4 linked regions of the Drosophila melanogaster genome follow. The protein of the gene in region 1 interacts with the protein of each later gene in a biochemical or structural test. Each region holds a gene or a part of one and is shown on either strand. Other genes may lie near its edges.

Evidence for each region.
Region 2: of the proteins of gammaTry (region 1) and Ubqn, one has a biochemical effect on the other in vitro, tested with the Drosophila melanogaster proteins (one study listed by BioGRID).
Region 3: of the proteins of gammaTry (region 1) and Rpn10, one has a biochemical effect on the other in vitro, tested with the Drosophila melanogaster proteins (one study listed by BioGRID).
Region 4: of the proteins of gammaTry (region 1) and Rad23, one has a biochemical effect on the other in vitro, tested with the Drosophila melanogaster proteins (one study listed by BioGRID).

Annotation. Positions count from the first base shown.
Region 1 is NT_033778.4:11,347,327-11,353,819, reverse strand, and holds gammaTry (gammaTrypsin), read left to right. Parts: upstream 1-3,949; 5' UTR 3,950-3,964; coding exon 3,965-4,726; 3' UTR 4,727-4,759; downstream 4,760-6,493. Other genes in the region: CG30025 (uncharacterized protein), read left to right, coding at 1-222; CG30031 (uncharacterized protein), read right to left, coding at 2,232-2,993.
Region 2 is NC_004354.4:19,682,074-19,691,697, forward strand, and holds Ubqn (ubiquilin), read left to right. Parts: upstream 1-1,734; 5' UTR 1,735-1,927; coding exon 1,928-2,023; intron 2,024-2,366; coding exon 2,367-3,837; intron 3,838-3,916; coding exon 3,917-3,993; 3' UTR 3,994-5,585; downstream 5,586-9,624. Other genes in the region: dome (domeless), read right to left, coding at 1-897; CG14227 (uncharacterized protein), read right to left, coding at 5,790-6,190, 6,259-6,443, 6,510-6,552, 6,621-6,852; Mer (merlin), read right to left, coding at 8,759-9,562.
Region 3 is NT_037436.4:21,532,426-21,539,887, forward strand, and holds Rpn10 (regulatory particle non-ATPase 10), read left to right. Parts: upstream 1-4,574; 5' UTR 4,575-4,687; coding exon 4,688-4,713; intron 4,714-4,814; coding exon 4,815-4,955; intron 4,956-5,015; coding exon 5,016-6,039; 3' UTR 6,040-6,157; downstream 6,158-7,462. Other genes in the region: Mkrn1 (makorin 1), read right to left, coding at 1-695; ppk5 (pickpocket 5), read left to right, coding at 2,235-2,388, 2,452-2,551, 2,605-2,865, 2,918-3,128, 3,187-3,772, 4,324-4,436; COX8 (cytochrome c oxidase subunit 8), read right to left, coding at 6,647-6,742, 6,819-6,929. UniProt on the Drosophila melanogaster protein: Binds and presumably selects ubiquitin-conjugates for destruction.
Region 4 is NC_004353.4:304,183-312,901, forward strand, and holds Rad23 (Rad23), read left to right. Parts: upstream 1-3,910; 5' UTR 3,911-4,041; coding exon 4,042-4,107; intron 4,108-4,230; exon of another isoform or gene 4,231-4,248; coding exon 4,249-4,897; intron 4,898-5,356; coding exon 5,357-5,451; intron 5,452-5,511; coding exon 5,512-5,835; intron 5,836-5,896; coding exon 5,897-6,007; 3' UTR 6,008-6,640; downstream 6,641-8,719. Other genes in the region: Syt7 (synaptotagmin 7), read right to left, coding at 834-994; Zip102B (Zinc/iron regulated transporter-related protein 102B), read right to left, coding at 8,608-8,719.

The sequences.
Region 1 (6,493 bases):
GCTTCCTCCACCTACGGATACGGTAGCCAGATCCGCAGCACCATGATCTGCGCTGCTGCCAGCGGCAAGGATGCCTGCCAGGGTGACTCCGGTGGCCCACTGGTCTCCGGCGGAGTCCTCGTCGGTGTTGTCTCCTGGGGATACGGATGCGCTTACTCCAACTACCCCGGTGTCTATGCCGATGTTGCTGCCCTCCGCTCCTGGGTGATCAACAACGCCTAATTATTTTTCGAAATAAATCATATATGAACAGTTTATGACGGTCGTCAGTTTATTTTAAAAGATGGTCTTAGTTAAAAATCAGGACACAGGGTTCACATTTTTAGATGGTAATGACTGTTCGAGTGCAATGACTATTAGATATAGTGAGTTGTGCAAGCAGTAAAGGGACTGCTTTTAGGACTATGGAAATTGATTGATTGGATTTAACTATCCCCATATTCTGTTAGAATGCCCTAAGGATTATTAGCGTGATTGGAATTGTAAACAACTAGGCATTATTAAGAAGCAAACTTGCGCAATGTAGTCGTAAATAAAACATGCATTTTTAACTACAACTTTAAAGCTCTATTAGTTTTCCAAGACTGTACGTTAGGCGGATAGGGAAATCTAGATCATGATCAAGAAGAATATGAATTTTATAGGCTCGATACGCATCATTCTACATAAGACTTACTTTATAACGATATATTCGTAACCATTTTATTTTTATACTCTTTACTCGTAGAGTAAAAGTGTATAATAGATTCGTTTAAATGTATCTAACAGCTACAAGTTAGTGTTTCCAATCATATAATGTACATATATTCTTGATCAGGATCGATAGCCCCATCCGTCTGTCGAGTTCTTAGCAACTATAAAAGCTAGAAGCTTGAGATTAGGCATACAGATTCTAGAGACATAGACCCATATTTCCCCTCCCACAATTTTGAAAAATATTTTGATTTTTTTCACATTTTTATTGTTTTGTAAATTTGTATCGATTCGCCAAAAATATTTTTGCCACGCCCACTCTAACGCCCACAAACCAATCAAAACTTTTTTTTCATTCATTCATTCATTCATTTCATTCATTAATTTCATTCATTCATTTCATTCATTAATTTCATTCATTCATTTCATTCATTAATTTCATTCATTCATTTCATTCATTCATTTCATTCATTTCATTCATTTCATTCATTTCATTCATTTCATTCATTTCATTCATTTCATTCATTTCATTCATTTCATTCATTTCATTCATTTCATTCATTTCATTCATTTCATTCATTTCATTCATTTCATTCATTTCATTCATTTCATTCATTTCATTCATTTCATTCATTTCATTCATTTCATTCATTTCATTCATTTCATTCATTTCATTCATTTCATTCATTTCATTCATTTCATTCATTTCATTCATTTCATTCATTTCATTCATTTCATTCATTTCATTCATTTCATTCATTTCATTCATTTCATTCATTTCATTCATTTCATTCATTTCATTCATTTCATATCATTTCATTCATTTCATTCATTTCATTCATTTCATTCATTTCATTCATTTCATTCATTTCATTCATTTCATTCATTTCATTCATTTCATTCATTTCATTCATTTCATTCATTTCATTCATTTCATTCATTTCATTCATTTCATTCATTTCATTCATTTCATTCATTTCATTCATTTCATTCATTTCATTCATTTCATTCATTTCATTCATTTCATTCATTTCATTCATTTCATTCATTTCATTCATTTCATTCATTTCATTCATTCATTTATATCATTCATTCATTTCATTCATATCATTCATTCATTTCATTCATTCATTTTCACTGTGGAGTTTCTATCGATATGCCAGAAGAAAGATGCTAGTTCGTTCACCCTGACACTAGCTGAGTAACGAGAGTATCTGATAGTCGGGGAACTCGAATATAGCATTCTCTTTTGTTAAAGAGTAAGTTCGGTTAACATAAGTTAAACTATGTAGTAATTGATCGAAAACGGGTACCTCAACAAATTACCTTTAATTTATTAAAATGATTTAAACCATTATTAACCTCCCGACAGAAATCTAGGTGTTTGTTATTTTTCAGGAGGTGAGAATACATTTTTTAGAAGGTTTCCTTTCCCATTTGCTGAATAAGACACATTACTGTTGAATCAGTAATAGGTCAAAACCACAATGAAACATAATAAAAGTAATATCCAAACTGAAATTTATTTCGCATACTTCTTAGGCATTGCTAATAACCCAGGAGCGGAGGGCAGCAACATCGGCATAGACACCGGGGTAGTTGGAGTAAGCGCATCCGTATCCCCAGGAGACAACACCGACGAGGACTCCGCCGGAGACCAGTGGGCCACCGGAGTCACCCTGGCAGGCATCCTTGCCGCTGGCAGCAGCGCAGATCATGGTGCTGCGGATCTGGCTACCGTATCCGTAGGTGGAGGAAGCACACTGGCTCTGGCTAACGATGTTCACGTTCACGTACTGCAGCTGGGAGGGGATGGAGCTGGATCCGTAGGAGAGAGTGCCCCATCCGGAGACGGAGGCCGCAGCGCCGTTGGCGGGGTTGGAGCTAGCCAGACCGATGGCCTTGATGGTGGAGCTGAAGGTCAGGGCGCCGTTGATCTTGATGATGGCAATGTCGTTGACCATGGTGTTGGCGTTGTAGCCCTCGTGGTTCTTGAAGGAGGACACAGAGAAGGTGACACCGCCGGAGCTCCAGTAGCTGGATCCAGCACGGATCTGCAGGACGGAAGCGGACACGGACTGCAGACAGTGAGCGGCGGTCACGATGACGTTGCTGGAGTAGATGGATCCACCGCAGGAGTGGCTTCCACTGCGCTGCAGGGAGATCTGCCAGGGGAAGCTGCTGATGGTGGTAGCAGAGCCGCCGACAATGCGGCCATCCAACTGAGGCAGGAGTCCCTCAGGGACGGTGCCTCCCAGGGCGCAGGCTACTGCAGACAACAAGATCACGAACTTCAGCATGGTGCGAATCCAATGAGTTGACTCTAAACTGGACACCCCTTTTATACGAGTTTCCAATCTGTTCTTGGCACTATAATCACAACTTTCAATTATTTTTATCACCTGCGTGTCAGGAAAACCCAAATAATACCGTTGAAGTGCCCAAATGATATTCCACAACTCAGAAGTCGCACGGCTCTTTATCACAAAAATAAATAAAAATGCAAGGAAAGTGTAACTACTTTTATATTACCTTTCTAAATAATTCGCGTTCTTTTTATTATATTTAATTTGCAAGGTATTGATGGGAACGTCTTTTTTCGACTTACATATTTAAATAGGGGATTAAACTTGTACAATAACATTGTGGAATTTTTTAAAAGTGGATGCTTGTCATTCAACTTGATTTAGTTCTAATCTAATCCAATTATTATACATAATTGTGTGCATAACTATTAATATTATTGGCTTTTTAAAAGAAAATAACTGTTTAGCATTTTAATTTGTGAATTTTGTAAAACCATTAATTTTAAGAACAATTTAATCGCCTTTGCATTAATTTTAATTACATGATTATGCGTTCAATTGCATTGTTTTCTAGTAATGCTCATGATGTTTCTCATAAGTTATATAATTTCTTTTAAAAAATTATGGTGTCTGTTTATTTAAAACACAATAAATTGTTTATAGAAATATAAATTGTTTTAATTTCGTTTAAACCCCGATATCTTTATGTGACTATCTTTTTCAAGCTATTTAAATGACCAACTTATTGCAAAAAAAAATCGTTTGGCATGAATCTGGACTTTGTATACGTATATACTTCTTATTCGCGAAATCTATTTGTCGGTCACACATTTAAAAAATATTTTGGATTTCCCTGACAAGCAAGTGATAAAAATAATTGAAATTTATGATAAGAGCGCCACAAAGAGATAGGTCCCTGTATAAAAGGGGTGTCCAGTTTAGAGTCAACTCATTGGATTCGCACCATGCTGAAGTTCGTGATCTTGTTGTCTGCAGTAGCCTGCGCCCTGGGAGGCACCGTCCCTGAGGGACTCCTGCCTCAGTTGGATGGCCGCATTGTCGGCGGCTCTGCTACCACCATCAGCAGCTTCCCCTGGCAGATCTCCCTGCAGCGCAGTGGAAGCCACTCCTGCGGTGGATCCATCTACTCCAGCAACGTCATCGTGACCGCCGCTCACTGTCTGCAGTCCGTGTCCGCTTCCGTCCTGCAGATCCGTGCTGGATCCAGCTACTGGAGCTCCGGCGGTGTCACCTTCTCTGTGTCCTCCTTCAAGAACCACGAGGGCTACAACGCCAACACCATGGTCAACGACATTGCCATCATCAAGATCAACGGCGCCCTGACCTTCAGCTCCACCATCAAGGCCATCGGTCTGGCTAGCTCCAACCCCGCCAACGGCGCTGCGGCCTCCGTCTCCGGATGGGGCACTCTCTCCTACGGATCCAGCTCCATCCCCTCCCAGCTGCAGTACGTGAACGTGAACATCGTTAGCCAGAGCCAGTGTGCTTCCTCCACCTACGGATACGGTAGCCAGATCCGCAGCACCATGATCTGCGCTGCTGCCAGCGGCAAGGATGCCTGCCAGGGTGACTCCGGTGGCCCACTGGTCTCCGGCGGAGTCCTCGTCGGTGTTGTCTCCTGGGGATACGGATGCGCTTACTCCAACTACCCCGGTGTCTATGCCGATGTTGCTGCCCTCCGCTCCTGGGTTATTAGCAATGCCTAAGAAGTATGCGAAATAAATTTCAGTTTGGATATTACTTTTATTATGTTTCATTGTGGTTTTGACCTATTACTGATTCAACAGTAATGTGTCTTATTCAGCAAATGGGAAAGGAAACCTTCTAAAAAATGTATTCTCACCTCCTGAAAAATAACAAACACCTAGATTTCTGTCGGGAGGTTAATAATGGTTTAAATCATTTTAATAAATTAAAGGTAATTTGTTGAGGTACCCGTTTTCGATCAATTACTACATAGTTTAACTTATGTTAACCGAACTTACTCTTTAACAAAAGAGAATGCTATATTCGAGTTCCCCGACTATCAGATACTCTCGTTACTCAGCTAGTGTCAGGGTGAACGAACTAGCATCTTTCTTCTGGCATATCGATAGAAACTCCACAGTGAAAATGAATGAATGAAATGAATGAATGATATGAATGAAATGAATGAATGATATAAATGAATGAATGAAATGAATGAAATGAATGAAATGAATGAAATGAATGAAATGAATGAAATGAATGAAATGAATGAAATGAATGAAATGAATGAAATGAATGAAATGAATGAAATGAATGAAATGAATGAAATGAATGAAATGAATGAAATGAATGAAATGAATGAAATGAATGAAATGAATGAAATGAATGAAATGAATGAAATGAATGAAATGAATGAAATGAATGAAATGAATGAAATGAATGAAATGAATGAAATGAATGAAATGAATGAAATGAATGAAATGAATGAAATGAATGAAATGAATGAAATGAATGAAATGAATGAAATGAATGAAATGAATGAAATGAATGAAATGAATGAAATGAATGAAATGAATGAAATGAATGAAATGAATGAAATGAATGAAATGAATGAAATGAATGAAATGAATGAAATGAATGAAATGAATGAAATGAATGAAATGAATGAAATGAATGAAATGAATGAAATGAATGAAATGAATGAAATGAATGAAATGAATGAAATGAATGAAATGAATGAAATGAATGAAATGAATGAAATGAATGAAATGAATGAAATGAATGAAATGAATGAAATTAATGAATGAAATGAATGAATGAAATTAATGAATGAAATGAATGAATGAAATTAATGAATGAAATGAATGAATGAATGAATGAAAAAAAAGTTTTGATTGGTTTGTGGGCGTTAGAGTGGGCGTGGCAAAAATATTTTTGGCGAATCGATACAAATTTACAAAACAATAAAAATGTGAAAAAAAATCAAAATATTTTTCAAAATTGTGGGAGGGGAGGGAGGGGAGGAGGGGAAAGGGGAAATATGGGTCTATGTCTCTAGAATCTGTATGCCTAATCTCAAGCTTCTAGCTTTTATAGTTGCTAAGAAACTCGACAGACGGATGGGGCTATCGATCCTGATCAAGAATATATGTACATTATATGATTGGAAACACTAACTTGTAGCTGTTAGATACATTTAAACGAATCTATTATACACTTTTACTCTACGAGTAAAGAGTATAAAAATAAAATGGTTACGAATATATCGTTATAAAGTAAGTCTTATGTAGAATGATGCGTATCGAGCCTATAAAATTCATATTCTTCTTGATCATGATCTAGATTTCCCTATCCGCCTAACGTACAGTCTTGGAAAACTAATAGAGCTTTAAAGTTGTAGTTAAAAATGCATGTTTTATTTACGACTACATTGCGCAAGTTTGCTTCTTAATAATGCCTAGTTGTTTACAATTCCAATCACGCTAATAATCCTTAGGGCATTCTAA
Region 2 (9,624 bases), on another chromosome or scaffold:
GTAGTTGTAGCCGGCGAAGGGCAGCTCCGTGAGGCAGAGCGTGTCCTTGATGGTCAGCGTGTGGTTTCGCCAGCTGGGCCGCGTGATGGGCTCAAAGTTTTGCGGCGTGACGCGCACCTGCCACACCAGGCCGCGATTGTAGTTGGACCGACGGGGCATCTCCCACGACAGGCACACGGAGCTCTCGGTCCTGTTGAGCAGGGTCAGGTTCTGGCCAGGTCGCGCCGGCACCAGACGCTCAAAGTGATTGATCGTGATCGGCTGCGTCTCGTGGCCCAGGGCATTGGAGATGGACAGTCGGAAGTAGAAGGTCTCGCTGAAGCGCTTGTAGTTGTCGTCGGTTAGGTTACAGGTGACCACTGGCGCCGAGTCGAAGTTGCAGTCCAGTGTGTTGCTATATCGCCAGTCGTTGTTGGTGTTGTAGCTGATGTTGTACTTGGTGATGACCGTGTTGGGCGGCTGGGTGAAGTTGCACACCATAAACTGGAAGTCGTAGTCCAGGCAGTTGAAGTCGCGCACCAGGAGCGGCCTGGTGCCCACGTAGACCTTTGACTTGTTGATCACATACTCGTCGCACATGCAGTGGTAGTCGTTCTCTTGCTCCACGGCATTCGTGTCGCTAAACAGGATGGTGGTGTTGTTCAGGATTCGGATGTGCTTGGAATCGCGGTAGACGCGGCCGCCGCCTGTAAAGTACAGCTTCTCCACCGGGCAGTCCTCGGCGCTCTTGCCGTTAAAGTAGTCTTCGTTGAGGGTGCAGCTCAGATTAAAGTCGCCGCCGATGAGCTGCTCCACCTTGGAGGGAATCACCCAGCCAGGATCCAAGATGGCGTTGGCGCCACCCCGGCAGCCGGCAAGCAGCATGAGCAGCAGGACGAGCTGCTCCTGGGCCACCATCTTCCTGGTCCTGGTTCTGCTCCCAATCCTAATCCTAATCCTAATCCCCTCCTTCCCTTGCTGTTAAGGTTTACTCTGGCTCTCTCTCTCTCTCTCTCCCACTCTGTCTCTCTGTCTTTAGCTCTTTTCCTCTCTTTCTGTCTCTCTCTCGCTCTTACACACGCGCGCACACCAAAACGGCGCTCTCTCACACACACAAGAGCACCTTGCTGTTGGCCTCGCACTTGTTGGCTGTGTATTGGTGGCCAGTTCTCGGAAACCGTTTATACGCTGCGTTCCTGGAAGTGGCTCTTAAACATTTCACTGCCCAGGTGTGGGCTTCTTGTCCGGGGCTTCACTACGACTAAATTACGAATAGGGCTATCAGGGCCTTGCAATGCCAATTGCTCGCTTCGAGCAACTGTGGTACCGTGTTACTGTTTTGTCTCTGGCTCTCTCGCAAATGCAGAATCCTCAGTTGGCTAAGGCGATCGCTCTCCTCCCTGCCCCCGCTCGCGATGCTGACGATATATGTTGTCGACGAGTTGCTTGTCCGCAGTGTGACCGCTTATCGAAAGTTATCGCAGTCCGATATGCGATATCACTGGGGCTACCTGTCGACGAACGGCCCCACTAAATGCGATAGGTGCCAAACATCGCATTTCAGCCGAAATTCGAATTCTAGGCCACCCGTTGCTTGTATCTCTAGAACGCCCTCTGCCGAATACGTTTTCAAGCAGAGCAAACTACTTGGCAGCGGTTTTGGACGCGTTCAAAGCGTTCAATTGGCCGCTATCGATTCATCGATTGGTGGTTGATACGTCAGCCCTGGCGTGTGTAAGAGTCAAAATCGAAATCCATCGTGAGTGTGTGTGTGTCCGTGTGAGTGAGAAAGTGACGAATTACTTTTCATCAAATGGGAAATAATTTAGGGTGAAAACACGTATATATTCGGAACACATTTAAATTACAGACGTGATAACATCTCGAAAGAACCAGCTACATCGGTGCAAATTAAGCTAAACGAGAACACCGCAAATACACCATCGAAATGGCGGAAGGCGGCAGCAAGCGCATCAACGTGGTTGTAAAAACGCCAAAGGACAAGAAAACGGTCGAAGTTGACGAAGATTCTGGAATAAAAGATGTGAGTACGGAGCACGTGACCCGCCTGACTTGGTTGCTGGTACCCCAAACCCTTCTGGACCCTTCCATTCATAGCGATGGACCACCTCCCTCCCTCCCTGCTCTTTGCCCACACCCCCGAAAGTATTGGGAAATTAGTGCCCGTAATCGCGGTACAGTGCACTTTGCCTAAGCCGCACACAACACGCGCAGCTGGTACAGTGCACTTTGCACAGTGATTGGTCTTCTTCCCATTAACACACATAAATTGAAGCAGAGGCATGGGAGCGAACATTTAATTGAAAGGGGAAACTAGACCATGGGCACATAATAATGACAACAATCACACCATTCTCGCCCCACAGTTCAAAATTCTGGTTGCACAAAAGTTCGAGGCGGAGCCCGAGCAGCTCGTGCTCATTTTTGCCGGCAAAATTATGAAGGACACGGACACCCTTCAGATGCACAACATCAAGGACAACCTGACGGTGCATCTGGTGATTAAGGCGCCGACGCGCAACAACGAGCAGCCGGCCCGACAGCCGGCTGACGTGCGCCAAACGCCCTTTGGCCTCAATCAATTCGGTGGCCTGGCCGGAATGGAGGCACTTGGAGCCGGATCGAACACGTTCATGGATCTGCAGGCGCGCATGCAGAACGAGCTGCTCAACAATGGCGACATGCTGCGCTCCCTGATGGACAACCCGATGGTGCAGCAGATGATGAATAATCCGGATACCATGCGTCAGCTTATCACGTCCAATCCGCAAATGCATGACCTGATGCAGCGCAACCCCGAGATCTCGCATATGCTTAACAATCCGGACCTGCTGCGCCAGACGATGGAGCTGGCCCGCAATCCCTCGATGTTGCAGGAGCTGATGCGTTCGCACGACCGCGCCATGTCGAATCTGGAGTCGGTGCCGGGCGGCTATAGCGCCCTGCAGCGCATCTACCGCGATATTCAGGAGCCAATGATGAACGCGGCCACGGAATCCTTTGGTCGCAACCCCTTTGCCGGCCTGGTCGACGGCGGCGGTTCAGGAGCCGGCAACAACCCGCAGCAGGGCACCGAGAACCGCAATCCCCTGCCGAATCCATGGGGCGGTGCCAATTCGGGAACCAATGGAACAGTCGGTGGCTCCGGCGCCGGCAATCCGACGGGGGATCTGCCGCCGAACAATGTGCTCAACACGCCGGCCATGCGAAGCCTGCTCCAGCAGATGGCCGACAATCCAGCCATGATGCAGAACCTGCTGAACGCGCCCTACACGCGTTCCATGATGGAGTCCATGTCACAGGACCCGGACATGGCCGCGCGCTTGCTGAGCAGCAGTCCGCTCATGTCTAACAATCCCGCCCTGCAGGAGCAGGTGCGTCAGATGATGCCGCAGTTTATGGCCCAAATGCAGAACCCCGAGGTGATGAACATGCTGACCAATCCGGATGCAATGAACGCTATCCTGCAGATCCAGCAGGGCATGGAGCAGCTGCGCAGCGCGGCCCCAGGTCTCGTTGGCACCCTGGGCATTCCACCGCCACCACCGGGTGCCGGCACCGGAACGAATCCAGCCAGCGGCGATGGGAGCGGGGGCAACAGCGGTGCCAGCACCAACAATGTTTCGCCAAGCAGCGGCCTCAACGCCGGCACCGGCACTCCAAACCTGGCCCCGGGCGGTGGTCCCAACGCGCAGCTCTTCAACGACTTCATGATGCGCATGCTCAACGGGATGTCGAACAACGCGGACAACACACAGCCGCCGGAGGTGCGCTACCAGTCGCAGCTGGAGCAGCTGAACGCCATGGGCTTTGTCAACCGTGATGCCAACTTGCAGGGTGAGTGTCCTAGTGGGTCTTGGTGGGTCGCCTGCCCTGTGCGATGATTCTAATCCGCTCTCTTGTGTTTGGTTTGCAGCTCTGATCGCTACCTTCGGGGACATCAATGCGGCGGTAGAGCGACTGCTGTCCCTCAACCAGTTGTCCTTGAGTTAACAAGGCTAAGCCATAGCCATAACCAAACTGTACACAACCTGTCTATATATCTACGAACTACAACTACTATATATACCACTACGGCCCTGGAGAACGCGAATGAGAACACGACTAGTTAGGAGGACAGGTCCTAAACCCAAACACACACCCTCCGCCAAAAAATTCCACGGTCAGCGCTGCTGATCGCTTGTTTCCCCATCAAGCCGGAAATGTCAGGAATCCATCATAGCCACATGCCAACATACCAACACCCCCAAGACACAAAAAGATGGCTCCAAACGAGCATAGTTGCCTCGAGATCGGAGAGATACTAGATATAGGTGGGTGATATGAATGACGCCGGTGAGAATGTTAGATAGGGATCGCATACCAAAGTGTTAGCACTTTCGTAGTTGATATCAGATTTTTTTTTTTTTTAAATAATTTACATTTCGTGAGCTCGGAGAATCCTTTAAGCGGAAATGCGTTAGCCGAAAACCAACTTGAATATGCATACTTTGCTCACGTAATGCATAGTTTTGCACGCCCAACAACTTCAATCGAAATACTTAACGCATTTCTTTATCGGAGAACTTCGTTAATTTTCAATAAAGTTAAGCGGGAATGTGCACTTTTGTCATTGATAATGTAATAACTATTTTGTCGCCAACAGATGCGAATTCCAGTTTTGTGTTTAAGAAAAAAGAATCGGTACAGAGATCAGAGGCGTAGTATATATCCTGTGTTCTGGTCAGGCAGTTTAGTTTTAGTCGGGTGCTAGTGGGCGTGGGCTATAGCCGCAGTCCTTCTGACTCCCCCCCCCCTCCATTTCTCGCGATCGGAAAACGTTCTGGAAATTGCAAACAACTGCAAACAGGACAAACGTACAGTAGATATCGGCTATATGCAAAGACGACACTGTCTTGGGGGAATCCTAACATACGCGCGAGTATGCTGTAGTCAATCAAAATGTTTATCGATTCGTTAATATAAGAGCAATCTCCAAGCGTTATTTATCCCACATCCCGTTCAGAGGAATACAAATGTAAAAAGTTGTTGCACACAAGCGATTTGCATGCTAACGATATCTACTGTAAGTTAATGTGTGTATATAGGTATATATATATGTATATACATATATATATATATATCAAAATATTCCAAGGTGTTAACAAAAGACGTAAAACTATAAAACAAAAAAAAAAAAAAAAAAAAAAAACCAACTCCTTAGTAAAGAGAGGAAGCCCCAATAATAACTTGTAATGTAATTTACTCTAAGCTTTCGTATATAAAACCTATAACCGACCATTTGGGTTCCCATTTCCGATCAATCACACACACACACACTTTCGAAAAGCTTTCCTTCGCGCGCTCACCGTTTATATAAGATATGGATTCAGTGTATACCCTGTAAGTGCTACCACCACATAGCCTCGCTCGTCCGCTGTGGGATTGGCTGGTCGGCCGGCTGGCTGGCTGGCCGGCTGGCTGGCTGGCCGGGTTGTTGGTTGGTCAGTTGGGCTAGTGGACTAGTGGAACTACGTTTATTTGTTTAGTGAAGGAAGTGAGGCAAAGTAATTAAATGTAAATGATCACATGTTTGAAAACGTAATAAAGCTACTTTGGTTTTAGATTATAGCCAACCTCGTCTATTACTCTCTACTATCTCATTTACTTCCAAAGGCATCCGAAATAAAGCAGCTCACCCACTCTGGCTTAGTTTTAGTAAGCAGTACTTTCTAATTGCTATTCCAAATCTTTACTGCAGCTTAAACGTTTATAATAACTTATACACTTATAACTTATAACTTATGTCCTCATGCCGACAAGTTAACCAGAGCATCCCAGATCCAGTCCATGTAGAAAGTCACATTGGTGCAGACACTTAGGCCCGCACAGGAGCTCAAGCCGAAGATGATGATGCCAAACTGGAAGGTGCGATACGTGCCCCCGTAGAGAATTTTTGCGCTAAAGGGGCCACCGGAATCCCCTTTGCATGCGTGGCTCGTCTCGGTGTGGACGCATATCTGCGACTCGTCCACCTGCTGCTGGAACTTCAAGGTGCAGAGTTCGCGATCGATACGATCCCCAACGGAATGCTTCAGCACCCGTGGTATGCTGCGAAAGTCTTCTGCAGTGGTGCCCCAGACGGTCAACTGGAATCGGTCGATGGCCGCCACTGGCTCATTGATGAGCAGGCAAATGGGGCGCACGAAGTCTATAGGGGAAAGGCAGTTCTGGTTGAGACTTTCGAGGGCAACGACTGGATATCTCCCACTCAATTACCTGAATACTGCACCGCATGCTGCATCCGGAGTAGGCCAATGTCGTACTGTTGGGCTTGTATTTTGCCGAATCCGGCGTGCACGATCTTCTTGTCGATCCGAACGCAGTATGCGTTTGATAAGCGAGCACCCGAGCTGCAATTTTGTCCAGGATTCCAGGCGTCGAAATCACCCAAGTGCACCTGCCTACAGGGAGAGATTGGGTAATGGGCTGATGACCACCACATATGCTGGCGAATGGGCAGGACTTACATGGCTTCTCTAAATACGCAATGTGCTGCTGTCAAAACAAATCCTGGAATGGTTAAAATTTAGCCTTGCGTGAGCTAAATAAGACACTCATCATTTGGCACAAACACTCACTATGATTGATGAGCGATCCACTGCATTTGGCCTTGCCATTCACTATCACCGAAACAATCCAAGGATTGGCCTGTATGTCAGTGCTGCTATCAAAGTAATTCCACCAAGTTAGCTTAGCGTTAGTTGGAAGCGACCTTCCACATTCCGCGTCGAGCAGGAAAGCCGATCCCTCTCGGGATCCGAGAAATAGAGAGGCAAAGAGGATCAGGAGTGCCGCTATGACTTTCTTCATTGTAGCTCGAGGCCCGAATGGAAACCGAACTTCGTGCCATTGGGTTTTTATTATATAAATTTGACACTCACTTATCGCAAGTTCCTCACTTCTGCGAAAGTTGCAAATTGGGCTGTGTTCTACGCGTGCTTCAATGAAATTTTGGCTGGAACACATGCCACATCTATATCCATACATTTAATCACTTTTATTTCTTATAAAAAATTGATTAATTTTGGATTTTTGATTCACTCAATTAAATGGAATAGCAGAAATCAATATGGATAACATACATTTTCATTTGAACTATGACATTTCGTTTATTTAATATCTAATATTAAGTTTTTACCGTTATTTAAACTTTAAATAAAGTTCTCTTATTATAATTACTCCGCGTAATAACGGAACATAACAAGGTGTATAGGGTAGAAACACCCTTTGAAGATCTTGAATTAGACAAAGATACACTGATGGTGCGAACGAGTCCGGAGTACTCTTCGGATCTGAAACCCTATACCTTTGAATGATCCGTCTATCATATCGAGTGGGAAATTTCCTTTAACGCCGTGCACGCCAAGTTAAAGGATTAAGTACCCTTGCAGTTAAACGTTAGGCATAATCTATAGTCTACAGGTACATACATATCTATAGTCAGATTCAATTAAAATGCAATTCCTTTGTCTGAAATCTTGAAAAATTATAATAAATAAATAGAAATCCAATCGTTTAATTTGCGCCACTTTATTTTTTTAGCTATAGGATACACTGCAGGAAGACAGCATTTTCGTTCCGATTTGCATAGTTGTATGTATGTATGTACATATGTACATATGTATTTAAACGAGCTGACAGAAAATATATGGCAACAGAACTAAGAGACCATGGAATCGGATGGACATCCACAGTCTCTGGGATAACATCCGTAAACCGACCACGCTCAGCGGAATAGGAGGGAGCTTCAAGAATATCGTAATTAACATTCAGACTTAACTAGAACAAATCCGTGCCTGCAGTTCCAGTCACCGACTTTTAATCGGTAAATCACCGCTCTTTTAAAAATGTTGAGCGCTTAAACACCGCACAATTTGCACGAAAGCTACCGGTGATTTTAACATTGGCATGTTTTAGGAAATCATCGGTATGAAAAAAAAATCCCAAAAACATCGCTATTAATCACCGTTGTTTAAGCGCATTTTAACGGGCCAATCGTCCTTTGATTCAGCGTTTTTTCATCGCTGCTTTAGCGGTTTTGGGTTTTGCGGTTTATGGTTTTTCATCTTTGGGAGAGAGATCGCTCGCGAGAGAGTCGGTGTCGGTGAGAGAGTGTGATGTTTCTCAAGATCGATGAATTGGGGAACTGCAGGGAAGGTATCAACACACTGACAAAGTCAAAAGAGCGCCAAATCTTCGCTATTGATCACCGTTGTTTGAGCGCATTTTAATCGTCCTTTGATTCTGTTTTGCGGTTTATTAGTTTTCATTTTTGGAAGAGAGAGATCGCGTTCGAGAGAGTCGGTGTCGGTGAGAGGGTGTGATGTTTCTCAAGAGCGATGAATTGTGGAACTGCATGGAAGGTGTTGAATATCTTCTACCGAAAATAACGGTATCTAATCGCCCATCTACTTTATGAATATTTTTCGTGCGTAAGTGAATGTAAAATCATATATGTACATATGTATGTACATATGTACGTTTGCAATTGGTTTATTACAGCAGCGGCTTGAGCGAACAATCGAAAAACATTAAATATAGTATGTTATAGTAGGATATAGTACAACTACGGTTAAGGCACTCATACACTCTAGCACGCGCACAGGCACACACGCCAAATCGTAACGTATCGTACAGCTAGATGGGGTATTAGTCATGTCGGCGGATGCGGGGGTGAGGGGGGAGTAGGTGACGGAGGAGGCGGAGGCGGAGGAGGTCAGAGCTCCTCGAAGAAGGCGACACGCGCCTTGGTCGAGCCGGACTTGAGTTTCTTGAGCGTGGAGTATTTATTTTCGCCGGCCTTGATCTGCGCCTCGCTGAGGATGTCCAGGTTGCTCTGGTTCTCCTCAATCTTGTGCGGCGCGATCTCGGAGCGCAGTGTCTGCAGTTGACTTTGCACCTGCTTGGAGTTGCGCAGGTAGTCGAGGTGGTTGCGCTCCATCTCATTGGTGATCTGCTCCATCTCGTTGTCGGTGAGTATGAACTCCTTGGGCTCGAAGTCGTCCGAAATGCCGCTGGAGTTGTCACCTTGGACCAGGTAGTGTGACGAGTGGGTGGTCAGCTCGGCGCCGCCGGCGGTCTCCAAATCATTGGTTGAGCTGCTTGTGATCAGGGAGGGTGTGCTGATGGCCGCCATGCTGGACGCCGTATTCGCCGCGTGCGACACACTGGAGGCGGTCAGCAGGCTATCCGTGGAGGACTTGCGGCCGCTGTTGAGGAATTCGAGCAGGCGAGCGGTGGCCTCGCGCTCCGCCATTTTGGCGCAGATCAGCTCCTTGCGCAGCTTCTCAGTCTCGGCCTCCCGCTTGTCGTTCTCCACCGTCAGCTGGTGGACATAGAAGTCGGCGTCGCGAATCTTCTTCTCCAGGTCGTGCTTCTCCCGCTCGATTTTCATTTGTCGCTCGCGCAGCCGGTCCATTTCCGTCTTGAAGTGGTTTGCCTTGCACTCGGTCAGCTGCATCTGCTCCTCGTTGACACGACTCTTTTCGAAGTACAGCTCCTTGGTCTCTTCGGAACGCCGCTGGGATACAGGGAGAAACTCAATATTATAGATCAGAAGCCACTGGGCGGAGTGAGTCTTAC
Region 3 (7,462 bases), on another chromosome or scaffold:
CCGAAGCGCTTTTCTCTTCCCGCCTTTTCCATAATCGTGTCAAAGCAGATGCCGCACGTCTTGTCCTTGGATCTGGCAATGGCGAAGGACAGCTCCATGGCCTGCTCGTGCTGCTGAAGGCACTCACGGTTGTGACTCCTCCGCTGAACTTGATCCGTGGGATGCAGGCAATACTGGTCGCACATTTCGCACAGCTCCATGTGAATGGGGTAAGCGGAGAATTCGCCCCAGGCGCAGGAACTGTTCTCCTCGCCATAGTCCTCTTTGTTCAGAGACGAAGGTCCGCCCACTACTTCGGCCCAGGAGACACCCGGGGCTAATGTATCGTAGCTGGCTCCAGCCTGCGCCTCCATCACCGCCTCAGGGTCCACAGTGGTCTCAAATTCGCTTTGTTCGTGGGCAGTATAGCGCTTTTGGCTAGGCACAAACACAGGGGCGTTCGCCCAGTTCCTCTGCTGACTGGAGATGCTGGCGCTGCGGCTGCCAATGGTGCTGCTGCTGCTTGTACTAGGCTTCGGCAGCACGTCGGTGGCCACCTGCTCCTCGCACTCGGGACGACCGCGGCTCAGGTCGTGGGAGAAGCGGCAAAGTTCCCCAAAGCGGCAGATGCCGCGCACGTAGTAGCGGCAGATGGTCTGGCTCCGGCCAAGAGCCATGCCGCTGATGGCTGTATCGCTGCTGGTGACGGCACTCATTTCGCTACGATGATCGCAAAAGGGTTTTCGGGTTTTCAAATCACTGACAAGTCTGGACCTGATGACCTGAAAGCAAAGGCGAGGGGTTAGCGATTGACGCTAGGCAAAATGGGTAAATTCAGGAAAATGTGACCTCCAGTCTCAAGCGTTCTTACCCCCAAACGAACATACCTACAGACACAGCCACTGCGTACATACGCAGATTCGGCAAACAGAGCCCGTGTACCCTTAAACCACAGTTGTTCGGGAGTTTCCGCAATCCTTAGCAGGAAAGCACACGAAATGCACTCGTGACACCTTTTGCATTTCAAATATCCCCTTAGCATCAGTGAAATATGCAATGTAAGTATGTATGCAAGTGCGAGGATTCCTGTACGCATATGAACGTTGCGATCCCGCACTTCAAAATAACCCTTGCATCGCACGCGATGAATGTTTTACATTACCTGCTTGCTTTCAGGGAGTGCGACTTCTTGAAATCGAAGCTGGTTTAATGTCCACAGCACTCACAGTTTCTTACTTTGTCGTTTTATGCACCTTGGATCACATTCACAATTTTTTTCCGCAGTGTGACCAAAGCCATTGAAGACTAAAATCACACGCACAACAAACCGTTTACTGTTTGAATGTTCGAACGCTTTTTAAATTTTACTAGGAATTCTGGGAAAGGAACAAAAGAATGAAAACGACAACAGAAGAGAACGTTTTATTCGACTATCAGATACCCGAGAAATTTTTTAATTTTTTTGGCATATCAATAGACAGAATATCAAACTGGACAGAAAGGCGTAACGGTTTTGGGCCGTTAGAATTGGCGTAGCAATAATCTTCATCTTAATCCTTCTACATACATAACGAATCTACTAAGCCTTCTTATTTACGAGTAACGGGCATAATGATGTAAGATAATATTTAATAATAAGATTTACAGTGTTACTCCCCCATTCTATCAAAGCTTAGAAAGCAGTTTACTAATCAAAAGGATTTATTTCCACCCGGCTATTTATTTAATTAGTGTTAAAGGGTATACCATTTGTATGTATATTGTATAAATAATTGCTCCTAATAATGACGCGGCAATGACAGGAGCGCAGCGTAACTTCACTCGAAAAAATTTATAAATGATACGTGGTCAAATTCTGTTAGTGAACAGATGGAGAGGATTTAACGGAGGATATAACGTAGTTGTAACGTTCTAAAGCTTTAATATCTATATTTATTTATCTGACATTATCTCAATGTAATAATTCCGCTTGTGTGAATATAAAATTTATCTGACTATCAAATGTACCTGAACATATTTGCTGTGTAGCAGTAACGCTCTAATTGACTTTGAAACTAAATAAGATACCATTTCTAACGTAAATTAAGGCTATTACAGGCAATCTGAAGTAATTAGAAGTTATTCGGGCCAACTCAGGTGAACAGTATTCATAAAATTCTTCTAAAAACCAGACCATGCGCTTGATAAAGAAATTCCATGGAAAAATTCGAAGCGTTAGCCGAAAAAGGGGAAAAAGTTTCCTAAGAAATACGTCAATGGAAATGCTTAAGTACGTTATTAGTGATAATAATTATTCTTGGTGGATAAAGCTTTACTTCGCCATCATATTCGCCTTGGTTCTTTTTGTGGCCGTGAACTTGGCGGTTGGAATTTACAATAAGTGGGACAGCACACCAGTTATTATTGGAAGTATATAAATCATAACATATATTACTTTTAGGGATATGAATACATTTTAATCTTACTTTAAAGTTAGCTCTAAGATGACTCCCATTGATCAAATTCCGTTTCCAACCATAACGGTTTGCAATATGAACCAGGCTAAAAAGTCGAAAGTAGAGCATTTAATGCCGTAAGTATCATTCAAGTCCCATGGAAACCCAATTATATAATAAACTCTATTAGGGGCTCCATAAGATACGCCATGCTTCAAAAGACCTGCTATAAGGAGTCAAATTTCTCGCAATACATGGATACTCAGCACAGAAATGAAACATTCTCAAATTTCATATTGGATGTTTCCGAGAAGTGTGCAGATCTGATAGTATCCTGCATATTTCATCAACAAAGGATACCCTGCACTGACATCTTTAGAGAAACTTTCGTGGATGAAGGATTGTGCTGCATATTTAATGTCTTGCATCCGTATTATCTTTATAAGTTCAAGTAGGGTTCAACGAAGGTCAAAAGAACGAATAACTTACTTACTCATTTAAAGATCGCCCTACATTCGGGACTTCACTTCGTCCGACAGGTTTGCAGATATCGCCGTGGACTGGGATCCAATATCTGGCTACCCACAGAGACTACCCTCAAGTTACTATCCGCGTCCGGGAGTTGGAGTTGGTACCTCGATGGGTCTGCAAATCGTTCTCAACGGTCACGTGGACGACTATTTCTGCTCCTCCACAAACGGACAGGGCTTTAAGGTAAGTTGTGTTGTACGCTTTTTGCCCAGCTAGCTTATACCTTTCAGATACCTTTCAGATACTCCTGTATAATCCGATAGACCAGCCGCGCATGAAGGAGTCAGGATTACCTGTGATGATTGGGCACCAGACGAGTTTTCGCATCATAGCTAGAAACGTTGAGGCTACACCCTCTATAAGGAATATTCACAGGACGAAACGCCAGTGTATTTTTAGTGACGAACAGGAATTACTCTTCTATCGCTACTATACGCGCCGAAACTGCGAGGCCGAGTGCGACTCCATGTTTTTCCTGAGACTTTGCAGTTGTATTCCCTACTACCTACCACTAATTTATCCCAACGCCTCAGTGTGCGATGTGTTCCACTTTGAATGTCTGAATCGGGCAGAGTCCCAGATCTTCGACCTACAGAGCTCTCAGTGCAAGGAGTTTTGCCTGACCAGCTGCCACGACCTAATTTTCTTTCCCGATGCATTTTCCACTCCATTCAGCCAAAAGGACGTCAAGGCACAGACCAACTACTTGACGAATTTCTCAAGTGAATACATGCGCAAAAACTTGGCGGTAGTAAACTTTTTTCACACCGACAACTATTTCAGGAGCAGTGTAAGGACTTCGTATACCGGACCCACTGAATATATGGGTATGCTATTTATTAAATTTTTTAGATCTTAAATACTTTCTACGTTATTGTTATATCGTTACTAGAACAGTAATTGCAATTCCGATAATATTCCGAGTCTATCAGGGATGCCCGTCCGTCTGATAGTATAAACGTCCATGTTTTTTTTTTTTTAACTCGAGGGGGTATTTTAAGTCGATTAATAAAAACAGTCCATGTAGTGACGATGTTCACCCGGAGTGTAATGCACAATAAGAGAGTGTGTAATGCACAATCTGCTTAAAAAATCCAAATATTACCGTTTATCAGAAGGTATTTTTATGCTCAAAGTTGCATACTTAGGAGTTAATTTATTTGATACAAATCAAATATTACTATTTGTCGTTACATAACGTATGTAACTCGTCACCTCGTAAGGAAATATTTTTGCTTGATTTTGCCTAGTACCATACAAAAGAGCTTCAGGCTTATCCAAAATTGATAAAAACAAATTATACAACTTTTATATAGAGATGGTTTTAGAATTCAAGGCAGTTGACTAAAGCGTTGTATCTTCCTTGTATCTTTTCCAGCGTCAACTGGTGGAATCATGAGCCTAATGATTGGTTTCAGTGTAATATTCCTTGCGGAGATAATATACATCATTTTGTTTGTTTCAACATTGTTGCTTATATTAATATTCTGAATTAGTAAATAAAATAAACAACTTTAAATGTGTTACATAATCTAAATTACTTTTCCACAGGACTAACATTAAATAATGGACTGGTGTAGAAAAATGTAAAAGAATGTACATATGTAAATATAATCAAACAAAAATATCGCACAACGGTCATACAAATCCGATATTTTAATGCCGATAGTTCAGGCAGCACAGCACCTGGCAACCCTGGGGAATTACAGTTCAGTGGCAAAGTGACAAGCAAAAATACGAAAATGGTTCTGGAGAGTACTATGATATGGTAAATTATTGTTTTTTGAGCAATACGAAGAGCTTCCGCTAGTTTTCCCGTACTGCTTGCAACGGCACACAGTCTGGCACTCATATTTTGCTCTTTTCCAGCTTTGATAACAGCGACTTCCAGCGCAACGGAGACTACTTTCCAACTCGTCTCATCGTCCAGAGAGATGGCATCAATCTGGTCTGCCTGACCAAGCTGCGTTCCAATCCCGAGAACAATGTGGGCCTGATGACTCTGTCCAAGTGAGTGTGGAGCGTTTGTGCCCATGCCACATATTCATTATGTCTTTGTTTATACCTCAGCACCGTTGAAGTGCTGGCCACTCTTACTAGCGATGCAGGACGGATTTTCTCAAAGATGCATCTGGTTCAGCCGAAGGGCGAGATAAACCTCCTGACCGGAATCCGAATTGCCCATCTGGTGCTGAAGCATCGCCAAGGCAAGAACCACAAAATGCGCATCGTGGTCTTTGTGGGCTCCCCCATCAATCACGAGGAGGGCGATCTAGTGAAGCAGGCCAAGCGCCTCAAGAAGGAGAAGGTCAACGTAGACATAGTTAGCTTCGGTGATCATGGCAACAACAACGAGATTCTCACAGCATTCATCAACGCGCTTAATGGCAAGGACGGCACCGGCTCCCATTTGGTCAGCGTGCCTCGGGGATCAGTTTTGTCGGATGCCCTGCTGTCGTCACCCATCATTCAGGGCGAGGACGGCATGGGCGGAGCTGGCCTGGGCGGCAACGTCTTCGAATTCGGTGTAGATCCCAACGAGGACCCCGAACTGGCTCTCGCCTTGCGTGTGTCTATGGAGGAGCAACGGCAGCGCCAGGAGAGCGAGCAACGTCGCGCCAATCCCGATGGGGCTCCACCGACTGGCGGAGATGCTGGTGGCGGAGGCGGCGTTTCGGGATCTGGACCTGGAAACGAAGAAAGTGCCGGAGCAGAGAACGAAGCCAACACCGAGGAGGCCATGCTGCAGCGTGCCCTGGCCCTGTCCACCGAAACACCCGAGGACAACTTGCCGGACTTTGCTAACATGACTGAGGAGGAACAGATTGCCTTCGCTATGCAGATGTCCATGCAGGACGCTCCCGACGACTCTGTTACCCAGCAAGCAAAGCGCCCAAAGACGGACGAGGCAAACGCTCCCATGGACGTGGACGAGGATTACTCGGAGGTGATCGGAGACCCGGCCTTCTTGCAGAGCGTGCTGGAGAATCTGCCTGGTGTTGATCCCCAGTCGGAGGCGGTGCGCGATGCTGTCGGTTCACTCAACAAGGACAAGGACAAAAAGAGCGACGGCAAGGACTCGCAAAAAAAATAAACCGCATCTATGATTATATCTAATAAGCTCGTTTAAAGCATTTGTATGCCCATTAAAATCATTTGTAGCCGTCTTTCAAATTATGCTTCAAGTGAAAATATATAAACAAATACACACGATCTGCTGCTGACTTAATTGACTGCGAGGGTCTTTTCATTCACTGCATGTCTAGTAAAAATAATTTTCTAGTCCTGATAGTGGCCGGTCGACTCGGGTAAGCATGTTTATTAGGGAAGCATATGCATAATGCTTCTTCTATCTGTCACTCACGACTCTAGTTAAAGTAAATAAATTGGATTCTGTACTTAAAGTAAATGAACTTGAGCTCATTGGCCAGTTTTTGAAGTTAAACACGGAAGAATTTAAAACATCAAGGATTCCGCCCGCCTCTTTTAGAGTCCACTTTACACCTGGCATACTGCGTTTTATACAATGTCAGTACCATATATCAGACACACGTTTATTTACAGCTGGACCATAGATAAATAATAAAATCAGTTTGTGGCTCAATGCACTATAGTTTATTTCCCCGTAACAGGGGCACTATTGATATATTGATGCTCTCTACTTTACAAGCGTATTAACTATGTGTGGTCTCGTATGCAGATTACTTGTCGCCCTTGTAGTCCCGGATGTGGTAGAGCACCCAGGCGGGAATGAACAAGGATGCAGCGCACATGCCGCCGCCGAGGATCACCTTCTCCTGTAATGCAAAAAGTGAAGGATCAGTTTTTCGCTTTGGGAATCACATCCTGGTTATGCAACAAGCTCAAACTTACGGCGGTGGAGATGCGCTGGGTCGGAGGTCCAGAGACGACCGACTGGCAACGGCTCTGCATGGCGCTACGCATAGCGGGGACCAGGAGGCGGGCAGCGCTGTTTTGGAACATTTTCACAAACTTTTTCGCAAAATACGCTGGCGTAAAATCAATGCTGTAAGGTTAGAATGCTTCTTCTTAACGATTTGTCATTCGCCTTTCTTTAGAGATGGTCTTACGCGAAACACAACTATCGCAAGCCAAAACGAAAATGTAGGGTGTTTCAGGTGCAGATAATTGTTTAGAAATACCTTATTGATTAAAAATAATGTTCTTGACAACCTAGAAATAAATTTAAGTCAATCAAGTTACTCAATGTCGGTATGGTCACAATGCGTACAATTAGTTAAATTAGTTAGTTTGTTCAATATTAAAAAAATCCTTTTTTTAATTAAAAAATAGCTTTAATATTATGTATCGGAAAATTTAATGGAACATAGATAACACTATTTATAATATTATACGTGTTATAATTGTGATAGGCATACACAAATTTATAAGGGAAAAATAAGCCAGGGAAGGCGGTCCAGGGTGACCATTTCGTGCCATCGGAATCAAGCGATAGTCGCGCATGGTCCCACTGCTGCATGGGACATGTCCGTCAT
Region 4 (8,719 bases), on another chromosome or scaffold:
AGCTCAATATTGTTTCCTGATGTCGCCACGCCACAAAATTAAAACATTTTTCAAAATGTGAATAAAAATTTACGAGACTAGCAAAAATATGAAAATTCATTAATACATTTTTTAAAAGTGTCGGCGTGGCAGTTTTGGGATGGTTGTGGGCTTTAGAGTGGGCGTAGCATGAAGTTGGCAATTTAATAGAAATTTACAAAACTAATAAACGTATGAAAATACGACGGGCGGTAGTGTGGGCTTGGCAACATTTGTCTCTGGAAACTGCATGCATAATCTCAACATTCCAGCTTTTATAGTTCCTGGGATCGAGATCGGACAGACGGAATATATATACTTTATATGGTCGGAAACGCTTCCTTCTACCTGTTACTTACTTTTCATCGAATCTACTATACCCTTTTAATCTACAAGTAACGGGCATAATTAGCAATTTATATCGATTGGTTCCCGTTACAGAAGAATAAAATATTTTAACGTTAAAATTTTGTATTTGCCAATCAATCATCCGATAATAAGCTATAAATTATGATGTTTCATTAAACTGCATACAACTCAAAAATGTTGGTTTTTTGTAGCTAAATTATAATTATATATTATTATATATTGCAGAGCATGATATATAAATATTCTAAATATTCCGAGGGTACTCAACTAACGTATTTATAAAAAAGTCAAATGAATAGGACAATTTAGAAATACTGCATACTCAAAATCGTTGATAATATACAGTCATAGACATAAATAGATCCTCTATCGCTTGTTAAGAGTCGAATGTCTGTCCCCATGAAATATATAAAGTCATATACTAAACAGGAAATGCAAATACTTACCGAAGACTATAACTACTAGATTCCTCATCTTCATTTGGTTCAATAAACTGTAACTGTGATCTTTTATGCCTCCACCACAAGTATCCTCCAGCCAGAAAAAGAGCGATTGTAATAATTAATCCCAATATAGCCAAGCAAGCTATAAGTACTATGCTTGCCATGTCTGTAATAGTGAGAAGTATGTGTAATTTTTTTACGACAATTCGAATCTTAATTCAAGTAAATAACAAAGAAATCGATTATGTAAGATATAATATCTTCGGGCATACATATTTATTTCATGCAGATAAGAACGTAACTTTCTGTAACTAAGGTGTATAATAATATATAATAACAACACCCAACTTATTTTTATTTGTTTATTTTTTATACCACAGTACCACCACAGTATAAACTATGTCGCACTTTAAGATGTAGAGCATATAATATTGTTATTTAATGGCTTTCTTTTTAAAGGAGTACACATTGTTTTATGTTTGACTTATGTAAATCTCATAAAACTTGGTCCAAAACATTATTATTTGTTTAGTTCGCTGTCATAAAGGTTGCAGGTGCCGGAGATCCCAATTAAGAAATAAGCAAACCAAACTAATCCAACATTCAGTATAATTGTTACAGTACTCTATGTTTTTACACTGTCTTATTAGATTGCGTGTTGTTATTACAAATTTGAGTCTTTCCTTTGAATTTAAATAACGGCAAAAACTGTATTTTACTTTAAAACTACTTTATTCCTAAAACAATATGTCGTTTAAGTTAATATCGAGCTACTTATGCCAATGAAAACACGTCGAATACATTTTTTTATAAGAGCTCGTTTGCATGAAAAGCTCGACTCTGTGCGCATGTCATTGAAAATACTAGTATATGTATGCATATACATAGGTACGAGTTATAATACGGAGTACTTTGAAACATTTACCAAAATATAATTGTGGCTGAGTGCAGCCAATTTTGTTGTGCTACTCATTAGGAATTCCCAAAATCGGAACTTAGGGGGATAATAACTGACAAGAGTTCTGAATACAGCCATCCTTATTCTACCTTGACAAGTGCATCGAATTGTTTACTTCCTCTAGATCCTGTCATCAAATAGTTTTCTTGGCAGATCCCGATATGTCACGGTTAAAAAGAAAGCTAGGAGAGAGTGCACGAAGAAATGAAAATCTGATGCTAACACAAGAAATGAAATTAATTCACATGAATACACTTATTTATTATTATTAATTGATAAGTGGAAAAACAATGCATTCGTGTATTTTTTGTATTATTCTTTGCAAATGTCTAATGCACAAGATTATTATTACAATTAAAAATCTTCAACAGCAAATTTTTATTTTTTGTTTTTATGGTATATACAATTATTTAGAATTAACACATTTGTCATTTTTGAAATTGTATCTTTTAAAATTCTCGATATTTACTACATTTAAACACCCCACTGATGATACAGCAATAGTTATCTTAATTTCGAAATTTTCGTTAATCTTATATGAACTCAAATCATATATGTTCACAAGACAGAAGATAAGCATTGATGTATATCTTTTGAAAGGAATACGGTATTACCAAAGACACTAGAATAACAAGATGCGTAACGGCCATACATTGGTTTGCCCAAAGACCCTAGAATAACAAGATGCGTAACGCCATACGATTTTTTGGCACACGATTTTTTGGCCGTGGCTCTAGAGGTGGCTCCAGGCTCTCTCGAATTTTTGTTTGAGAGCGAGAGAGCGAAGAGCGCTACAGCGAACAGCTCTTTTCAACGCACAAAGTGGTAGGAGACATCTGTATGTGTGCACACGTATGCTCATGCATTGTAAATTTGACAAAATATGCCCTTCACCTCAGAAGTTTTTAGACTTTAAATCTATATTATTTTTGATCAATTGGCACCATGCGAAAAATTCTTGTTTTGCATTGCCTTAACGTTATTATTATTTGAAAATATATCAGAAATAGCCAAATCTATGTACATATTATCACAAAAATAAATTTCAAAAATGACTTTATATAAGAATATTTGTCATTAGAGTATTCATCTTGCGGCGTGTGAAAAATTAATAAGGCAATGATTGTTGAGTGCTTGTGTCCGCACTTCGTGCCTCAAGATATGAACAAAGCATTAGAATTATTCTAGTATATTACTTTGATATTACTTTTGCAATAAACAGTTATCATATTTAATTATTTAGTATATTTATTAAATCATTTGACTTAATATGATGTAACATTAACATTAAAAGTGTTTTAAAAAAATAATTTCTCTTTTAAAAAATTGTCAGATGAGAGACAAATTAGAATTAAACATAAATATAAATGTGTAAACGGTAGCTAATTCGAGCGGCGATTTTAACAAACAAATTTAAAAAGCTTTAAAATTATAATAGTCAGGGCGCGAATTTTTAAAAATTTTTTTATTTTATCATATTGCTAGGAAATTGGCAAAAACTACCCTAATATGTACCATGTAAATTCGTTTCTTCGATCAGAATTGATTTCGGCCCGAAAATCGTCTTCTAGCACAACACGCACACTTATACGCGTTCTCGTCTCTTGTTTTTACTCACACAAGCAATCAAATTATATTTTTAGATTTCTTACGCTCTCAGCGGGAGTGAGCGGAAAGAGAGTAATTTTGGCAGTCACCAAAGAAGTGGCTGCATAGTGCCAAACCAATGTATGGCCGTTACGCATCTTGTTATTCTAGTGTCTTTGGTTAAACTAAAGTATTTTTAAAGAAATACCGAACTACTTAAACGGAATTAAAAATTAAATTTCTTTGAAATTTATTGATCATCAACCGATGGTATATTATAAATAGACTTATATACTACAGGTATAACCTGTATATAGTATGATCTAAATCGTTGATATAATGAAATACTAACTACAGTCAAACCACGGACAATTGTTTATTTGTTACGTTCATTATGACTTCAATATTTCATATTTCATTATAAATTTCATTACAAATCTTTACATCTTTCTTGATGTGTGAAAATGTTATAAGGACTATTGAACTCTTTGGTTTGTGCTGCGATTTTGTGTCTTTTAAGCGAGAAGGTATAATTTGCCAGTCCATGTGCGGTCACACTGATGACAAATCGTTTTTATCAAGCGATATTGGGAACTAACTTTCGAGTTTGCATATGTGTATGCATATGTATATTTAATTAAGTTTTGGTTTTGTCTGATACACAAGATGATTATTACAATTAAAAATCTTCAACAGCAAACTTTTACTATTGAGTTTGCCCCGGAAAAAACGGTATGTGTACAAATAGTCAAATACTAGTATATTCACATGTATGGTATATACAATTATTGCAAATGCATATGTGTGCTTATACAGGTATTTCTTACAATTAATTTGTTGTACCATAATAAGCAGGGATTCTGATTACAAAAGGTTTTGGAACTGAAGAAGAAAATATTCGAGGAGCGCGGTCCAGAGTACGTCGCCGAAAAACAAAAACTGATCTACGCTGGCGTCATATTGACGGATGACCGCACCGTTGGTTCATACAACGTTGATGAAAAAAAGTTCATTGTGGTAATGTTGACACGCGATTCGTCTAGTTCAAATCGTAATCAACTTAGTGTAAAAGAAAGTAATAAATTGACTAGCACCGACGATTCAAAGCAATCTATGCCTTGCGAAGAAGCCAACCATACCAATTCGCCTAGTTCCACAAATACAGAAGATTCAGTTTTATCACGTGAAACCAGACCTTTATCTAGTGACGAATTGATTGGCGAGTTGGCCCAGGCTTCCTTACAATCGCGCGCTGAATCTAATTTGCTTATGGGTGACGAATACAACCAAACAGTCCTATCAATGGTGGAAATGGGTTACCCAAGAGAGCAGGTTGAACGTGCGATGGCTGCTAGTTATAACAACCCGGAAAGAGCCGTTGAATATCTCATTAATGGCATACCTGCAGAGGAAGGTACTTTTTACAATAGGCTGAATGAATCAACGAATCCTAGTCTAATCCCCTCCGGACCGCAACCTGCGTCGGCAACCTCTGCCGAGCGTTCAACAGAATCAAATTCAGGTAACTTGATGGGATTTCAATCAGCAGTCAATTTATGTATTCTTGTATGAAACGAAAATATATAATTTCTACCCAGAAGTACTAAATTTGCACACTTCAAAACATAGTGAAATTAATAAACCCGATTTGGCTCTCGCTCTTTAATGAAATTATACGGCCTTAACATAATTGCGTTAGTTTTCCTGGTCAAGAAATATTGTTGATCAAAACTTATGTTGCACATTCGTTAATAAATAATAAAAGAGTTCTCTTAGTACTGGAAATATATGCAGCTGTTAAAGATTCACTAAAATGTTTGTGAGCTCGTTGTCCCGCAGTATCATTTACATATATATGTCAACAGACACTAAAGGAGCGATAATTCACGAATTTTTGTCACTATTCTCTTCAAGGACAGGGCATCACTATATGTTTTTAGTTAATTTAATTATTATTTAATTATTTATATTTACGTTTCAGACCCCTTTGAATTTTTACGTAGCCAGCCACAGTTTCTTCAAATGCGATCTTTAATTTATCAAAACCCTCATCTTTTGCATGCAGTATTGCAGCAGGTAAGTACACTTATAATAATAATTACATGACACGTAAATGATAATTTTTTTTACGTATAGATTGGTCAGACAAACCCAGCCCTTTTACAACTTATTTCGGAGAACCAAGATGCGTTTCTCAATATGCTTAATCAACCGATTGACCGCGAATCGGAGTCAGGCGCCACCGTTCCTCCCGTTTCGAATGCGCGGATTCCTTCAACTTTGGACAATGTTGACCTCTTTTCTCCAGATTTAGAAGTAGCTACTTCAGCACAAAGATCAGCCGCGGGTACAAGTGCAGCACATCAAAGCGGTAGCGCAGCGGATAACGAAGACTTGGAACAACCTTTAGGAGTATCAACCATTCGTTTAAATCGCCAAGATAAGGACGCAATAGAACGGGTATATAGGAGTGAATAATTATATATGGACTGTCGAGTTACTTAATATATTCTTCTTCTAGCTAAAAGCTCTTGGATTCCCAGAGGCCCTTGTACTGCAAGCGTACTTCGCTTGTGAAAAGAACGAGGAACAAGCAGCTAATTTTTTGCTATCGTCTAGCTTCGATGATTAGGATGACAAAATGTAAGAAGTTATGCAAATAACACCGGAAGCGTTACATTTAAAGTTAGATGTTCTTAAATTAAATGTAAAATGTCGATCATAAAAATTCTTTTATATTCTTTTAATACCGTCGGCGTATTGTACTTGTTATTTGTTAAAAATTGCAGCCATGGGTAAAATAGAGTTACGATGTCATTTTTACTAAATATTTCACCACGACATTGTCTTCAGCATAAGACTGCAAATGTCTACAAATTTATCTGTGCCAATCCATGGTAGGGAGGCCTTGGATTAGGCCTTCACCTAATGGATGGCAAAGTATATTTCTAGTGTGTGTATTTCTAGTGTATATGCAATACACACATTAATTATTTTAAGGTCGTATTAAGCTAAAGAAGTCTTATGATTTATTCTTTCCTTATCTTGGTTGATTTATAAAATATTTTTTTGACTAGTGGGAGTCCACAATTAAGTCACTTAACACATAAAGTACTTTTTGTCGTCCTGGATGTTGGACATATGACTAAAATATATTAATCATTGTATTACATAAATTTCGTGTTTTTTTATTGTAAATAATGTCCGCAATTATGCCCTAATAAGCTGTGGCGTCTCTTTGGTGATTCCTTTCAGGATGAGTCGGAGAAATAAAACAATTTCATTAATTGCATGACATTCATAACAATTCTATAGTCGAGTGCCTCGACTATCAGATACCCTTTACTCACGAAAAAACTAATTAAAATTTTTATAAATATTTTTTATTGCTTATTTTTACAGGAATAAATGTTCTCCAGTTTTACAGTACTTAGATTATCATTAATTTACAAATATACAAAACTGTAGAACATTTGGACTTATGATACTTTTCTGCTTGCCAATTAATACGACAAATATAAAACTCGAACATTGTAATATGCATTATTAATGCAAAGAATTCTACACTTTAATATTAATAAATCTCTAATAGTTTCATGTATGGCTATGGTCCCCTCTATAATGTTGCTACAATTATAAATCTTTCCTGACTCAATGTAGATTCAAAGACACAAGAATTATTGGTAGATTTGGTAGAACGCAGGTAAGTGGAAAGAGAAGCACTCGTTAATACTTCTTTCCTTGACACGTTCCAGAACTTTAGACTGGGTCGAATTAACTTTATAAACATGGGCATACCCACCGGACCACAAATAACGTTATTCTAGTGTCTTTGGTTTGACTGTGTTAATGACAAATCTTTAAGCTCAAAATTGTAGTATAGAAACTCTTTGGTGACCATTGACACGAATAGGACTGCCGACCACAGTGACATACATATAAAGTGAAAACATACACATTTATGTGGAAATGGTCTGGCAACGACGAAAGACAAGCTTCACAGCTTATCTAACGACAAATCAAAAAGTTAGAACGATAGAGTGGTGTTTACACACAAACTACCGGATTGATGTACACTTTCTCATATCGATATGACGCAACCTAGTGATTTTGGAAGTATTAGTAAGATGCTACGCGGTGAAAAGATACAAAATATTATAAGATTGTATATATGTAAAGGGAAAACAATTTATCCTAATTTGAAACAAATCCATGCTACAAGTAATTGAACATTTTACCAAATTTTGTCGATTGTGCCCAAGGAGAAGAGAATCGAGATCAGGTTTCGGAATGGCAACGAAAAGGAATAGTACGCAAGTCGGCGCCGAATTTCGCCAGCAGACTCGTCATAGTCAAAAACAAAGATGGATCAACTTAACGCCATGGTTTAAAAAACTGCCTAAAACTGCAGTCAGCAAAGCTATTTGTCGTCGTGATTTTGGGAAACAGTTTTTTTCACGTTCTAGTAGAAGAGAAGTGCCCATAATACACATCATTTATAGCCAAAGAAGTTTTTAAAGATCTTTGCTAAGATATGATTCATATTTACAAGACAAGACAAGAACAGCGGAAATAAAGAACGCGCGAAAAATATTCCGCAAAGAAGTTGAGCAGAATTAAAGTAGAAAAGACGCAGAAAGGTATCTATAAATGTAGAAAGTCATAGCAGAAGTAGTTATAGAAATCCGTAATCTAAGGCCGTAACAGAAGACGTTATCCAGTAAACCAATGGTGACATTGCCAAGCTGCCTTTAAACCGTCTCTTACTTTTTACTACCATTCTGAGAACGTAAACTATCCATTGTTATTAAATACAATAAAAACATATATAATTATAAATTAACATATAGTATATAGGAGCCGGAGTCAAAATTCTGATGCCAATGAATTCGGCGCCGACTTGCGTACTATTCCTGCCTGCGCAAGTCTAAATATTAAAGTAAAATATTTCTTGCACTACTTTTTGACCTTCCTCATTTTGCTTGGTTTACTCACAATACATTCTCGTATAAGGCCTCTCAAATCACTCAACTTTACAGAAAGCTGACAAAAGTTGACGTCGGTACCAAATTTGACTTTCATGCGACAATTCATTAAATTCAAAATCTTTGTGCAAAGCACTTAATGTTAATAATTGTATATCCGAGAAATTAAACCCAATATATTTATAGCTTAATATCCCTTAACTTTTACTTCATCTTATTTGACAAAAATATATGTATTACTACATTACTAGTGATTATGTCCAAATGTTATAATTAGGGGTAGCAGTGCGCCGCAAATCAGAATTACCAATTCACTATATTTTAGTGCTTGAATACTATTGCTTCCATTTATATCATTC